3 linked regions of the Callithrix jacchus genome follow. Each later gene encodes a partner of the first gene's protein in a complex. Links are inferred from orthologs where the notes say so. Each region holds a gene or a part of one and is shown on either strand. Other genes may lie near its edges.

Evidence for each region. Proteins that work in one complex are often made in the same cells at the same time.
Region 2: BANP (region 1) and IRF2BP1 share a complex: the UniProt entries of both Homo sapiens proteins name them as parts of the corepressor complex. The link is inferred for Callithrix jacchus from reciprocal best matches to the Homo sapiens genes BANP and IRF2BP1.
Region 3: BANP (region 1) and IRF2BP2 share a complex: the UniProt entries of both Homo sapiens proteins name them as parts of the corepressor complex. The link is inferred for Callithrix jacchus from reciprocal best matches to the Homo sapiens genes BANP and IRF2BP2.

The regions. Positions count from the first base shown.
Region 1 is NC_133521.1:45,581,506-45,585,445, reverse strand, and holds the start of BANP (protein BANP), read right to left. Parts: upstream 2,811-3,940; 5' UTR 2,727-2,810; exon of another isoform or gene 1,339-2,726; intron 1-1,338. UniProt on the Homo sapiens protein: Controls V(D)J recombination during T-cell development by repressing T-cell receptor (TCR) beta enhancer function. Binds to scaffold/matrix attachment region beta (S/MARbeta), an ATC-rich DNA sequence located upstream of the TCR beta enhancer.
Region 2 is NC_133523.1:40,034,186-40,038,154, forward strand, and holds IRF2BP1 (interferon regulatory factor 2-binding protein 1), read right to left. Parts: upstream 2,809-3,969; 5' UTR 2,444-2,808; coding exon 689-2,443; 3' UTR 301-688; downstream 1-300. UniProt on the Homo sapiens protein: Acts as a transcriptional corepressor in a IRF2-dependent manner; this repression is not mediated by histone deacetylase activities. May act as an E3 ligase towards JDP2, enhancing its polyubiquitination. Represses ATF2-dependent transcriptional activation.
Region 3 is NC_133520.1:50,621,498-50,625,444, reverse strand, and holds the start of IRF2BP2 (interferon regulatory factor 2-binding protein 2), read right to left. Parts: upstream 2,809-3,947; 5' UTR 2,131-2,808; coding exon 1,083-2,130; intron 499-1,082; coding exon 1-498. UniProt on the Homo sapiens protein: Acts as a transcriptional corepressor in a IRF2-dependent manner; this repression is not mediated by histone deacetylase activities. Represses the NFAT1-dependent transactivation of NFAT-responsive promoters.

The sequences.
Region 1 (3,940 bases):
ATGATCAGGCTGGCTCGTGTGCAGGTTACAGAAAAAGCTGAGAGGCTGAAGAAGGAGGGGACCTGACCCTACCCTGAAAACAGGGTACATGAGATGGAGGAGGCGGCATGTGACAGAAGGGATCCGTCACCCATCATAACACAAAGTCAAGGCTGAGTAAAAAAAGTATCAGCTTAGGCCAGGGGCGGTGGCTCAAGCCTGTAATCCCAGCACTTTGGGAGGCCGAGATGGGTGGATCACGAGGTCAAGAGATCGAGACCATCCTGGTCAACACGGTGAAATCCCGTCTCTTCTAAAAATACAAAAACTTAGCTGGGCACGGTGGCTCGTGCCTGTAATCCCAGCTACTCAGGAGGCTGAGGCAGAATTGCCGGAACCCAGGAGGCAGAGGTTGCAGTGAGCCGAGATCACGCCATTGCGCTCCAGCCTGGGTAACAAGAGCGAAACTCCATCTCAAAAAAAAAGAAAGTATCAGCTTAAAGGGCACGTTAAAGCCCACCCTGGGCAACAGGTGTGGCAGCTCATGCCTGCAACAACTACTAAGGAGGCTGAGGGTCACCAGGGCTGGGTAGAGTCTGTGGAACACAGGGAGATCCTATCTCAAAAACAAATGAAAAGACCAGCTTACTTAGAGCTATGGAGAAGGACCTCAAGAAACCAGGCTTTGAAGAATGGGGCTGGGAGGTGGGGCAGGGGACACTGCTTTTCATGTAAGTCTTCCACTGACATGGCTGCTGTATACACTATGTTGATTAAAACACTGAATGGATGGGGTGTGTTTTTTAAGAACATCAGCTTAGAGAGACTGAACTGGAGCCCTGGCTCTGTGCATCTGCACACATGCCCTCAGCATCTGCAGCCACATCACCTCATCTATGGAGTGGGGGTCACGGTGAAGGATGCAAGATGTTGAGCTGCCCCCACAGCCTGAAGCTCTTTTTTTTTTAAAGATTAAAGCCACAGCCTGGGAAACAAGGCGAAACCCCCCCCACTATACAAAAATTAGCCAGGTGTGGTGGCACCTGTGGTCCCAGCTACCTGGGAGGCTGTGGTGGGAGGATCACTTGAGCCAGGGAGGTTGAGGCTGCAGTGAGCCAAGATCACCACACTGCATTCCAGCCTGGCAGACAGTTAAAATCCTGCCTCCAGAAAATAAAAACATTAAAACCAGTGAGCACAGAATCCAACATTGCTGAGAAACATTAAGTTTGCCCTGGCCCCGTGGCTCCCTTGTGGAGAGGACCTTTCAGTTAGTGGTAAGCGGGTAACAACTGCCTACCTGGAATATTTCTTGAGTTGTAAGTAAATACAGAACACCTGTTTATTAACAATAATCACCTGTTAACATGTGGATCGGAGCCTGCTGGGGGCCTTCAGCCTGGAATGCTGTCAGCCCCGAGGCTCAGCTCCGTAGGCTATGGGCCCCGCCAGACCCTCGATGCTCTTCTACCTGGGCGTCTTCCCACTGCCTCCAGCGCAGCCTGGGTGGAGGTCTCCCTGCCCAGTGGTACTTGCTGCAGCTTATGAATATATTCTTATTTGAATTGCAAGGCAGGGGAAATGCACCTACATACAGTTTCACCTCGTTTCGGTGTTTTCTTCTAGCACTGGGTATTTGCGAGCTGCGGGCGAAATGACCAGATCTAGTTTTAATTTGATGTTTTCTGATCTTCCTCAGAACCACTCACTACTCCGAGCTATTTTTCTGTCCCCCAAGAACTTCCAGCTACAAGTGTACCCTAAGACTGCCTCCTCTTATCGGTTATTTATTGCAGCGCAAGTTCCGCCAACGCCATCAGGCCCTGGAGTACATTCCCGGGCAGACAGGCAACTCCAAACAGAGAATGACCGGCTCCACATCAACTGTGCGGCCCGGGCCTCCCCGGGGAGGGTGCGAGCTCGCCACCGTTCAGAGCCCACACTCGTGCACCTGCTCACAGTTCTTCAGGGCTGATGTATCTCCCCAAGAGCAAGACAAGCCCTGCCACGTCCTCAGGGAAAAACCACAGTCCCCTCCAGCAAGGCACTGTCTCCAGTGCGCTCACACAGTGGGGATGGAACGTCATCTACTTTCTGCACCCCAGGGAAAAACAAACGGCCCCCTTTTTAGGGGCTGCACCACAGAACTCGCACACAGGCGCTGAGGAGGGGGCCCCCGGGAACGGGCTGGGGTCCTCGCCGAGCTCGGCGGCAGCCCTGAGATCGCCCGTTTCGCTGCGCGCCGGAGGCTTCCGCGTGCAAGTCCTGGGCTACTGGGGCTCCTGTCCACAGCCATGGAGGAGGCACAGAAACGGTGCCCGTCGCTCACGGCTGGCTGGCAGGAGCCACCCCCGAGGGAGACCTCGGTCCCCCGAGGAGCACGGGCGCGGTTCTAGGCCTTTCCAGTCTCCCCGCCGCGGCCCCGGAGCAGAGATCGGGAGCTCGAGGCCCCCGGGCCGGGCTACGGCAGCCGCGGCCCAACGGACGCCGGGGCGCGGCGGGGCAGGGGGTGCGGAAGCGAGGAAGCGGGAGCCCCTCTTCCGGGGCGCGGCCAGGGACGGGGAGCGAGGAGCTGGGGGCGCTCGCCCGGCCCAGACAGTTGGCGGCGGCGGGGCTGCGGCGCGGACGGCCCGGCGGGCGGGAGGGGGAGGAGGAGGAGGAGGAGGGAGGAGGGAGATCTCGCTCTCGCTCTCGCCCCGCGGGAAGGGGGAGGCGGAGGCGCGACCGGCTGCGGGAGCTGCAATTACCGTGTGGGCTGCGGAATTCTCGTGGTGTTTGTCGGGGAGATGCGATAATGGCGTCCGTCCTCGCGAGAGAAGCCGCCGCTCTGCGCAGGCGCCGCGAGCCCCTCCCCGCGACGCTCGGCCCCCGCCCTCCGCGCAGGCTCACTGGGCGCGCAGGCCCGGGGGTGGGGCCGGGGCCGGGGCGGGGCGTGCGGGCGGCGAGGCCCACTACGCGCACTTTTCCCGCTCGGCCTCCCGGTGAGCATGCGCAGGCTGGCTTCTCCCGCGACGGTATCGGCTTCCCAGGGCTTTTTTCCCCCCGTTTTTCGCCCACGCGCCTGGCCTGCCTGAGAAAACTCATCTCAGTGGACTGTCTGAAGAATTTGCATCTTCTTTGAGATGGAATGAATAGGCATTAGCTTCCTCAACGACTACATCTCCCAGGGTTCCCTGCGCAAGCTAGGAGCGATGCATTCTGGGACTCGTAGTGCCTTCGTCTGGACCCTGCCTGCCGGGACTTGTAGTCTCTCCGGACTCCGGTCGCGGCGTCCAGTCCCCGCACCAGGGGCTGCTGGGACTTGTAGTTACAATGATTCAGGTGGGCTGTGCGCCCCCAGCGGGTCCTACTTGCTGCTGCGACGAGTCCTGCCCTGAGGTTCCGGAGCGCTGGGAGGCGTGTTTCCAAAGATGTAAGTGGTCAGGGGTCCCCATTGTCCGTCCAGAGGGGCCTGAGTTCACGCGCGCGCGGGGGGGTAGCACACACAGTAGTGATTATGGTCTTAGACATTTCCTACATGAAACACATGCCTAAGTGATGGCGGCCAGGCGCCGTGGTCACGCCGGTAATCCTAGCACTTTGGGAGGCCAAGGCGGGCTGATCACTGGAGGTCACCGGTTCGAGACCAGCCTCGCCAACATGGTGAAAACCCGTCTCTACTAAAATTACAAAAATTACCTAGATGTGGTGGCGCAGTCCTGTAATTCCAGCTACTTGGGAGACTTACGCAGGAGAATCACTTGAGCCCAGGAGGCAAAGATTGCAGTGAGCCGAAATCTTGCCGTTGTACTCCAGCCTGGGCGACAGAGTGAGACTCCGTCTCAAAAAAAAAAAAAAAAAAAAAAAAGGATGGCATCGAATGTGCACACGTTATATTTTATGTAGAATAAATGTGCAAATGTGCATTTGTGGTAATCCTAGGAAAAAATTCCCAAAGTATAGGGCAATTCCTGGAAATGTC
Region 2 (3,969 bases), on another chromosome or scaffold:
ACCACGTGGGCGCTCAGTCCTCCACCTTCCAGGCAGAGATAGGCCAGCTACAGAAGGGTAATCTACTCCCGAGCCTCTCCCTGCAGGAGCTATCCCCTCTCTGAGCCTCAGTTTTTTCATCTGGAAAAGGGGCCGATGGCTAAAACGTGACCAGTGGGTCGCTCTCGTTGAAGGTCGGCCAGCGGGACCGCCTGGGTGCCGGGCGCCACCTGGAGGCTACCGCGCAACGTCCTGTCCCTCGCAGGACCACTTCAGTCCCAAAGGGGGCGCAGCATCTCACACAACTAAGGGACCAAGAAGGAAAAAAAAACCCATCTTTCGGTTTATTGAAGGAGCAGAAGGGGGCGGGAGAGGGTTTATAAAGAGCGAGTTTTCAGGAGGTCCCTTCTCAAGGAGGAGGGGGCACCTCTCCCCCAACTACAAGCAGCAGCAAAGCCAAGCCAAGGAGGACAGAGGGAAACTGGAGGGGCCAAGGGACCCCAAACACCCCCTCGGACAGGAACCACAAGCTTTCTCCCCCCACCCACAATGCATCTACCCCAGGGGACCCGTCTGTGCAGAGGAAGGGAGTATGTACACAGGTAGGGGTGGCACTGGGCTAGGTCGGGGAGGGAATAATTTATCCGCGGCAGCGGTGGGTGGCAAAGGGGCAGAGGGTGGTGGCCAGTGGCCTGGAGGCAGTGGTGGCCTACGGGTCCCGTTCTTTCTTAACCTTGATGTCTCCAGCAAGGATGGTGGCGATCTCACCCTGCATGAAGGCCCAGGGGACGGAGGAACCCACCAGCGGGCATTTGTCTCCGCTTGGGCAGTACACCTCCCCAGCCGGGCCCTGTGCCTTGATGAACTCGCGCGAGCAGGGAAAGCAGAACTTGTGTCCGGGCACCGAGGGGCACTGGACGAAGTGGGTGTCTTCCAGCCGCTCCCTGCACAGGGTACAGCACAGGGGGGCCCCAGGGGTCGCCCCGGTGCCGCCGCCACCCCCGCTGACAGCTTCGGCCCCCGCTGTGGGACTGACTTCGGCTTCACCGTTGCGGGCAACCAGGCGATGCTGGGTTGGAGGCTGGGCCGTGGAGGAGGCTGCAGGGCTGGCACCCCCTGCACGCACAGGCCCCCCACCTCCGCCAGGGTCCTTGGGTGATTGACCCAGGGCCTCGGCCACATTCTTCAGGGCGGCAATGGGTGAGGGCACACCAGGGGTCTCAGCGGAATACGGGCCACCAGGTGCTACCCAGTGTCGTTGCTGCTGCTCCTCGGTGGTCATCTTTCCAGCCGCCTCGCCTTCAGGCTCGGGGGATGCTTTGCGACGGCGCGGCGTGGGCGCTAGGTTCCGGGATGGGGCTCGCGGGGGTGGGCCACAAAGAGCCGCAGGGGCCGTCTCTGGGTACTGCTGGGGAAGGGCCTCTGCGGGAGCTGGCTCGCGGAAGCTGCGGACACCGTCGGTCAGTAGCTCACCCAGCTGCCGCCATTCTCCTGAGCCATGCCGGCGTTCATATTCGAGGTACTTGAAGCCCGAAGAGGCCAGTGCCTTGCCCGGCTCCCGCAGAGCATCGTGGAACATCTGACGAGCCACCGCCAGGACGCCTGCGTACACATTGCCGGAACCACAGGGGTATTCCGTGAAGAGCTTCAACTCGAACTCGTATCCTGGAGGACGGGCAGTAGCATCGAAGGCGAACACCCTCCCCACCAGCCCGTGATCCTTCTTGAAGCGCACATTGAACGGGGCGCAGGCGGACAGCGCCAGTAGCTGTTCCCGCACTGCTTTGGGGCGCCCGTGCCATTCCTCTGCCCTGCCCCGCATGGCCTCGTTCAGTTCTGCCAGACAGTCCGCATTCCTCTGCTGCTTCTCTTTCTCGAAATCAGAGCTGAAGAGGGGCCGGGCAGGACTCAAGCCGGGTGCCAGCGTCAGGCCTCTGCTTCCCAGGCCAGACACTGCAGCTGCTAGCAGCCCAGGGGGCATCAAGCCAGGCATGGAGCCAAGCAAGGCCCTTCGCGCCCCCTCTGCCACAGCCTCCTCACGGCCAAGCCCATTGGCCAGGCGGGACCCCAGAGTGTATTCCAGGGCCGGCGAGGGCAGGGGGAGGCGGCCCGATGATGTGGCCCTGTCATAGCGGTCCTGGCCTGAGACGCCGCTGCTAGTCCCTGATGGCTGGGGCTGGGCCTGCGGGGGCGGCAGCTGGGGCCCCTGTGCGGCGGCCGCAGCCAGGTCCTTGGTGGCCGGGTGCTTAAGGGCCGGGGGCCCGGGCGAGCGGCCTTCGGGAAGCACGTGGCTGCGCTTGAGCTGGCGGGCGGCATCGATGAGCAGTTCGATGCGGTCCGCGCCCTCGAAGTTCACGCAGCCGCGGCACACCGCCTCGCTGAAGTCCCACACCATGGCCCACGGCATCTTGGGCAGGTCGCACAGGTAGCACCACTGGCGGCGGGACGCCTGCACAGACGCCATGGCCCCAGTCCGCGCGCCGCCCGGCCCCCGCGTTCCACCGGCCGCCGCCGTGCGATTCGCGCCGCCGCCGCCGTGCGATCCGCGTCCCCGGGACAGCGCTAGCCACGGTCCGGCCTCCGGCTCGGCCTCCCCGCCGGATCCAGGCCCGGCCCCCCTTCCCCGCCCCCTGGGCCTTAAGCCTTTTTGCTCACTCCCGCCTCCCTCGCAAAGGCAGGCCGAGGCACGTCGGCGCCCTCGCCCGGTCCGGGCTCCGAGCCGAGGCGCACAGCTCGGGTCCCACGATGGGCTGCTCTCGCCGCCACCTAGGGCTCCCGCCGCTCTCTCCGCCGCCGCTGCAACGGCCGCCGCCACCTCCACCTCCTTCTGCCCCAGAGGCCGCTTCGCAGGGAAAGTTACATAACGCGCCGGCAAAGCCTTCTGGGAAACGTAGTCCCGCCGGGGCCTGCTCTTAAAGGGAACGGCGGGCAGCCAGCGGGGGTCGCCGCCTCTCCTCGCGCAACCCTTACTCCTCCTCGCCTCGGGGCCGGAGTTCCGCACGCCGTGAGGAGCTGGGACACAAAGGTGGGAGGCGAGGACAAAATACGAATGATCAGAGCTACTCCGGGTTCAGAAATTGTGGGGGTGGGTGGACAGGCTGCTGGCTTCCAACTTCTGTTTCGATTTGCGGTGCAGCTTTAGGCAAAATTTCTTACCCTCTCTGAGCCTCAGTTTCCTCGCCCAGCAAAGGTGGGCCAATGACGAATTAGGAGGGCAGCAGCTTCTGGGGCGGGGCGGAGAAGCTCTGATTGGCTTCAGAGAAGGGACAGGAAGCTGCCAACTAGGAGGGGGTGGAGGTGGCCACTTGGCACTTCATCCTTCTCCGGAATCCCTGGCTCTGGGGCCCGCCACAGCCAGAGGAGGGAGAGGACTAAGGGCTCCTGAGTCAGAGCTTTGCCTCAGTTTGCTAAAGGAGGGGGGCGACCGAGCGCCCTCTAACCCTGTCCTAGCTCTGCTCGCGCGCTCTGGTCTCTAAAGGGTTACACCATCGGCCGCTGGGCGTCCCCCCACCCGCTTCACTACAATTCCCAAAATGCGCCGCGGGGCGGACAAAGTGACGTACTTCCGCCGTCTGGGAGGTTGGGGGGAGGCCTTCCAGATTCGCGCTACCTCCCCCGCTCCCCACCCCCAACTTTCTGGGGTCTTTGCGTGCTTTCGGAGCATGGCGTTTGCGGGACCCTTAGCCTCTATTGCTCCCCAGTTTGAGGGAAGAGTAAGGGGCTAAGAGGAGGGAGTTGCTGGGGAAGGGCAAATACCCGACCACCTTTCCCCAACCTTGAGCGCTCACTACCTGGGAGGCCCAATCAGTCTTTGGGGACCCTCCTGTCTTCTTTCCCGGGCCTTGGGAACGGGACGAGGCTGTCTTTGGGGAAGGGCGGAGGCGGGTCTCCAGGTTCTAACCCACAACAGCCCCTTTCTCTTTCTAGGCCTGGGTCCGTGTTAGGTGCTTAAAAATATTTGAATTGACGTGCCAGTTGACCCTGGTTTTC
Region 3 (3,947 bases), on another chromosome or scaffold:
TGTCCTCCAGCCGCTCGTGGCAGAGGGTGCAGCACAGGGGGGCACTGGCTGCCAGAGAGGAGTCCGGGAGGCTGGCAGGGTGCACTGGCTCCAGTCCTCCTGCGTTGCCTGCTCCCTGGCCCCCCACCTCTCTGGGGCCCAGCCTTCTTTGGTTCATAGAGGACGGAGAGGGCGGACTGTTGCTATTCCTCCGGGTAGTGGAGTGAACCTGGTTGGCATCTTTTGAGGCATGACTGCCCCCTGCATTGTCTGCTACTAAGATCAGGGCTGCCATGGGGGACTGGCCATTCTGGGCCGCTTCAGGCGGTGTGGTCCGGTTGGAATGAGGTGAGGCAGTGGGTGGCGGCGGAGACACAAAAGAGGATGTAGGCGTCATGGGGATCTTGAGCCCTTCTGTGGATGTGGACAGCCACGGCTGGGCCTCTCCATTGATCTTAGGGGGCCCGACTTCACCTTCTGGTTCTGGAGAGGGCTTCCTTTTCCTTGCTGTTCTTGCAACTGGAAACACAAAGACAAGAAAAGAGAAAGGAAACATAAACGACGGCGCACTGGAAAGAATCCCTCTTCCCGACCAGAAGCGAACTCGTTTCAGAATTCCTCCTCTCTAAAAGCACGGACAGAAAAGACTCATTCGAGTTTCAAGTGCACATGCAACTTAAAACCTTTAGACGTATGGGGTTCCGAGGCAGCCGACTGATTTAGTAAAACGGAGCCAGCGAAAACGGCATGCTTGTAACTGCCTGTTTTTACACATGCACAAGGTTTGCACTGGGCATGTGACCGCTAATGTCCCCCAGTAGGTTAAAAGGTGACTGGTGCCCTCATGCTCCCATCCAAGAATGTGCTGGGAAAGGAAAAGCCCGTGGCAGAGCCTATCAGCCCAGTGTGACTCATCTCTGTTATGCTGCTTCAGCACAGGAACACGTTGCCACTAAGCACTGGTTCCGCCTCAGGCAGATCAGGAAGTGGGGTGTTTGTTGTTTCTGGGCTGGGGCAAAATGGTGACTTGAAAAAAACCACCCCTCCTCTGCTCTCCGTCCCCTTTTCTCCCCTAGAGCCCCTCACTCCACAGCCGCCCCTACCTGCTTTAGACCCGTTGGCCCCGTTGGCCTCGAAACCCAACAACCTGCCTGCAGTCAGGGCCGGCTCCTTCTTAAACTTGCTCTCGAAGGGCCCCGAGTGGCCGTGCTGGTGCAGCGCCAGCAGCGTGTCGCGCACGGTCTTGGGCCTATTGACCCAGTCCTGCTCTCCGGAGCCGCGGCTCTTGCCCGCACCTTCAGCGCTCAGCTCGGCGGCCCCGGCCGCGGTGGACAGGCTGTCGGCCGGGCCCCGGTGGGCCGGCGGCGGCGGTTGCTTCTCTTTGGCTGCCGCCTCGCGCTGCTCGTGCTCCGCTGCTGCGCTGCTGGACACAGAGGCCGGCCGCTTGTGGGTGCCCAGGTCGGCGGGCTGCGCAGAGCCCAGGCTGGCGGCCGCGGCTCCGGACACCGCGGCCAAGGAGGCGGCAGCGCGGCCGCTGAGGCCGAGCGCGGTGGGCAGCGGCGTGGCCGAGCCGTTCATGAGCGGCACCAGGGTGGGCGGCACCGCGTGGCCGCGCCGCGGGTTCGGGCTCTGGCGATTCAGCTCGGGCGGCTCCTCCAGCTTGGAGAAACCATTGGGCACCAGTATGCCGTTCACAGGCGGCGGCTGCGGAGTCGGCGGCTGGGCCAGGCTCGCCGCCGGACGGCTGCCGCCGAAATCCGAGCCAAGGCGCGGGGGCCGCTCGGCCGCGGCCGCCAGAGGATAGCGCTCCAGGGCCTGCGGGGCGCGCGGGGCCGCCTCGGGGCCGCCGTGGCCGAGCTGCTGCTGCTGCTGCAGAAGGATGTCCTTGGCCGAGAGCGGCGGCGGCTTGGCGGCAGCCGGGGCCGCGGTGCCGGGCGGGGAACGACCCTCCGGGAAGCAGCCGTGCGCCCGCTTCAGCTGCCGCGCCGTCTCGATGACGAACTCGACGCGGTCGGCGCCTTCGTAGTTGACGCAGCCGCGGCACACGGGTTCGGTGAAGTCCCAGATCATGGCCCAGGGCATGCGGGGCAGGTCACACAGGTAGCACGACTGCCGCCGGGACGCGGCCGCCACCGCCACCGCCGCGGCCATGTCCGAGGAGCCCGCCGCGCCGGAGAAGGTGGAGGAGGAGGAGGGGGCGCCGCCGCCGCCCCCCACCGGCACCACGCGCGCCCTCCTCCCCCCCCAACCCCGCGTCTCCCCCACCAGCGGCGGCGGCGGCCGCAAAGGCGGCGGCGGCGGCAAAGCCCGCGAAGGCTCGGCGCCCGCGCAGCGCCCCCGGTGCACGAGGGGCGGCGGGCGCGGGGCGAGAGGCTGCAGCCGCGGCAGCAGGTCCCCCCGGGCGGCGCGGGCACGGGCGGGCGGCGCGGGGCGGCGGGGCGGCGGGCGAGGCGGCTGGGGCTCGGCCGGGGCCGCGGCGGGCCTCCAGACCGGGGCGAAGACGGGCCGCGCGGGCGTGGGGGAGCGCAGCAGGTCGCGACGGCGGCCGGCACGGAGTGCGGGGCGGGGGGCGGGGAGGCCGGGGGGGCGGGGGGCGGGGGGCGGCCGCCGGGGCAGGCTCAGCCCGAGCGGCGGGGCATGCCGCGCCGGGGCGGCGGCGGCCGGGCGGCGTGGAGCTCGGGCGCGGCGCGGGCCCGGGGTCGCTCCGCCGCTCTCTCACAGCTCCTGGCGTCGCCGCTCTCCAGCGCCAGCGTCAGCGGCCAGCCCGCCTCAGCTCCGCCGCTGCCACCGTCGCTGCTGCTGCTGGCGCCGCGGCCGCTCCACTTCTACAGACTTGATTCTTCGACAGTCTCGCACGGCGCCTGCGCGGGCCCCCTCCCCTCGTGCGCGCGCCCGCCCTCCCGCGCGCGCGTGCTCCCCCTCCCCCCGCGCGCCCAAGGAGCGCTGCCGGGAGAGCCGGGCGCCGCAGAGCCGGTGTTCCCTTCGGAACGCCGTGCTAAGTGGTCCTGCGTTTTTCCTCCACTTCCCTCACTTCGCGCCCCACCCGGCTGTCTCGACCACCCTCAGGATGTTTTCCCCTGGTGTGCCTCTGGGCCAAACCATGCCAAAAGTCATTTTTAAATTTTTTTTCATGCAAGGCCACTTTGTCACTTGGTTTTCGTCAGTCTCCAGAGAAGGGGGATTTTAAGTCTAGCGTGGTTCACAGTCCCAGTTTCTTAGGAGTGAGACTTGAAAGCTCAATGTCGGACGCATGAGCATGAAATCCGTCACTGGTGCTTTGCATTTGCATTTGTCTTGGGAAGGACACACGCGCTGCCTGCCCCTTTTACTAACTGGGGAGAGTCTGACGTTCCCAAGCCCAGCACCGCGTGCACACGCCGCCAGCTGGCTCGCGCGTTTTCCACGGAGCCCTCGAGCGGAGGGAGCGCGGTTCTGATTAGCTGCTCGAGAACACCAAGTGATACTCTTAGCCAGTCCAGCCGCCCTGTTCAGCGGGGTCCTCGCCGCGCCAGCGGCCCAGACCGCCTTATGTAGGTCCGCGCGGCGGGCGCGTGACGTGGGCGCGGGGCCGCGGACGGCCGCCGCCGCAAGTGCGCACGCTCCGCGCAGACGTGCCTCGGCGCCGCTGGCACTAGGGCCTCGTGGAACGAATGCACATTCCAGGGATCCGGGGTCTACGGCCAGCGCCGCCGCGTCACGGCGGAGGCTCCACCCCCTTTGGCAAGTCTGGGCCTCAAGGCGCCGCCCCCGGGCCCGAACTTGGATTCGGTGTGGCGGGAGGCGCGGGCGCGAGCCGTGGGGGGCGGGGGTCTGCTTGTCTCTGCGGGGTCCCCGCGGGCCGTGGGGGCGACCGGCTGGCTGGCTCGCCGTCGCGGAGGGCGGGCCACTGGCGGGGGCGGACTTGCACCCTATGTGCCACCTAGGCCGGGCTCAGCCCAGACGCCCGGCCCGCAGCTCTGCCACAGTTG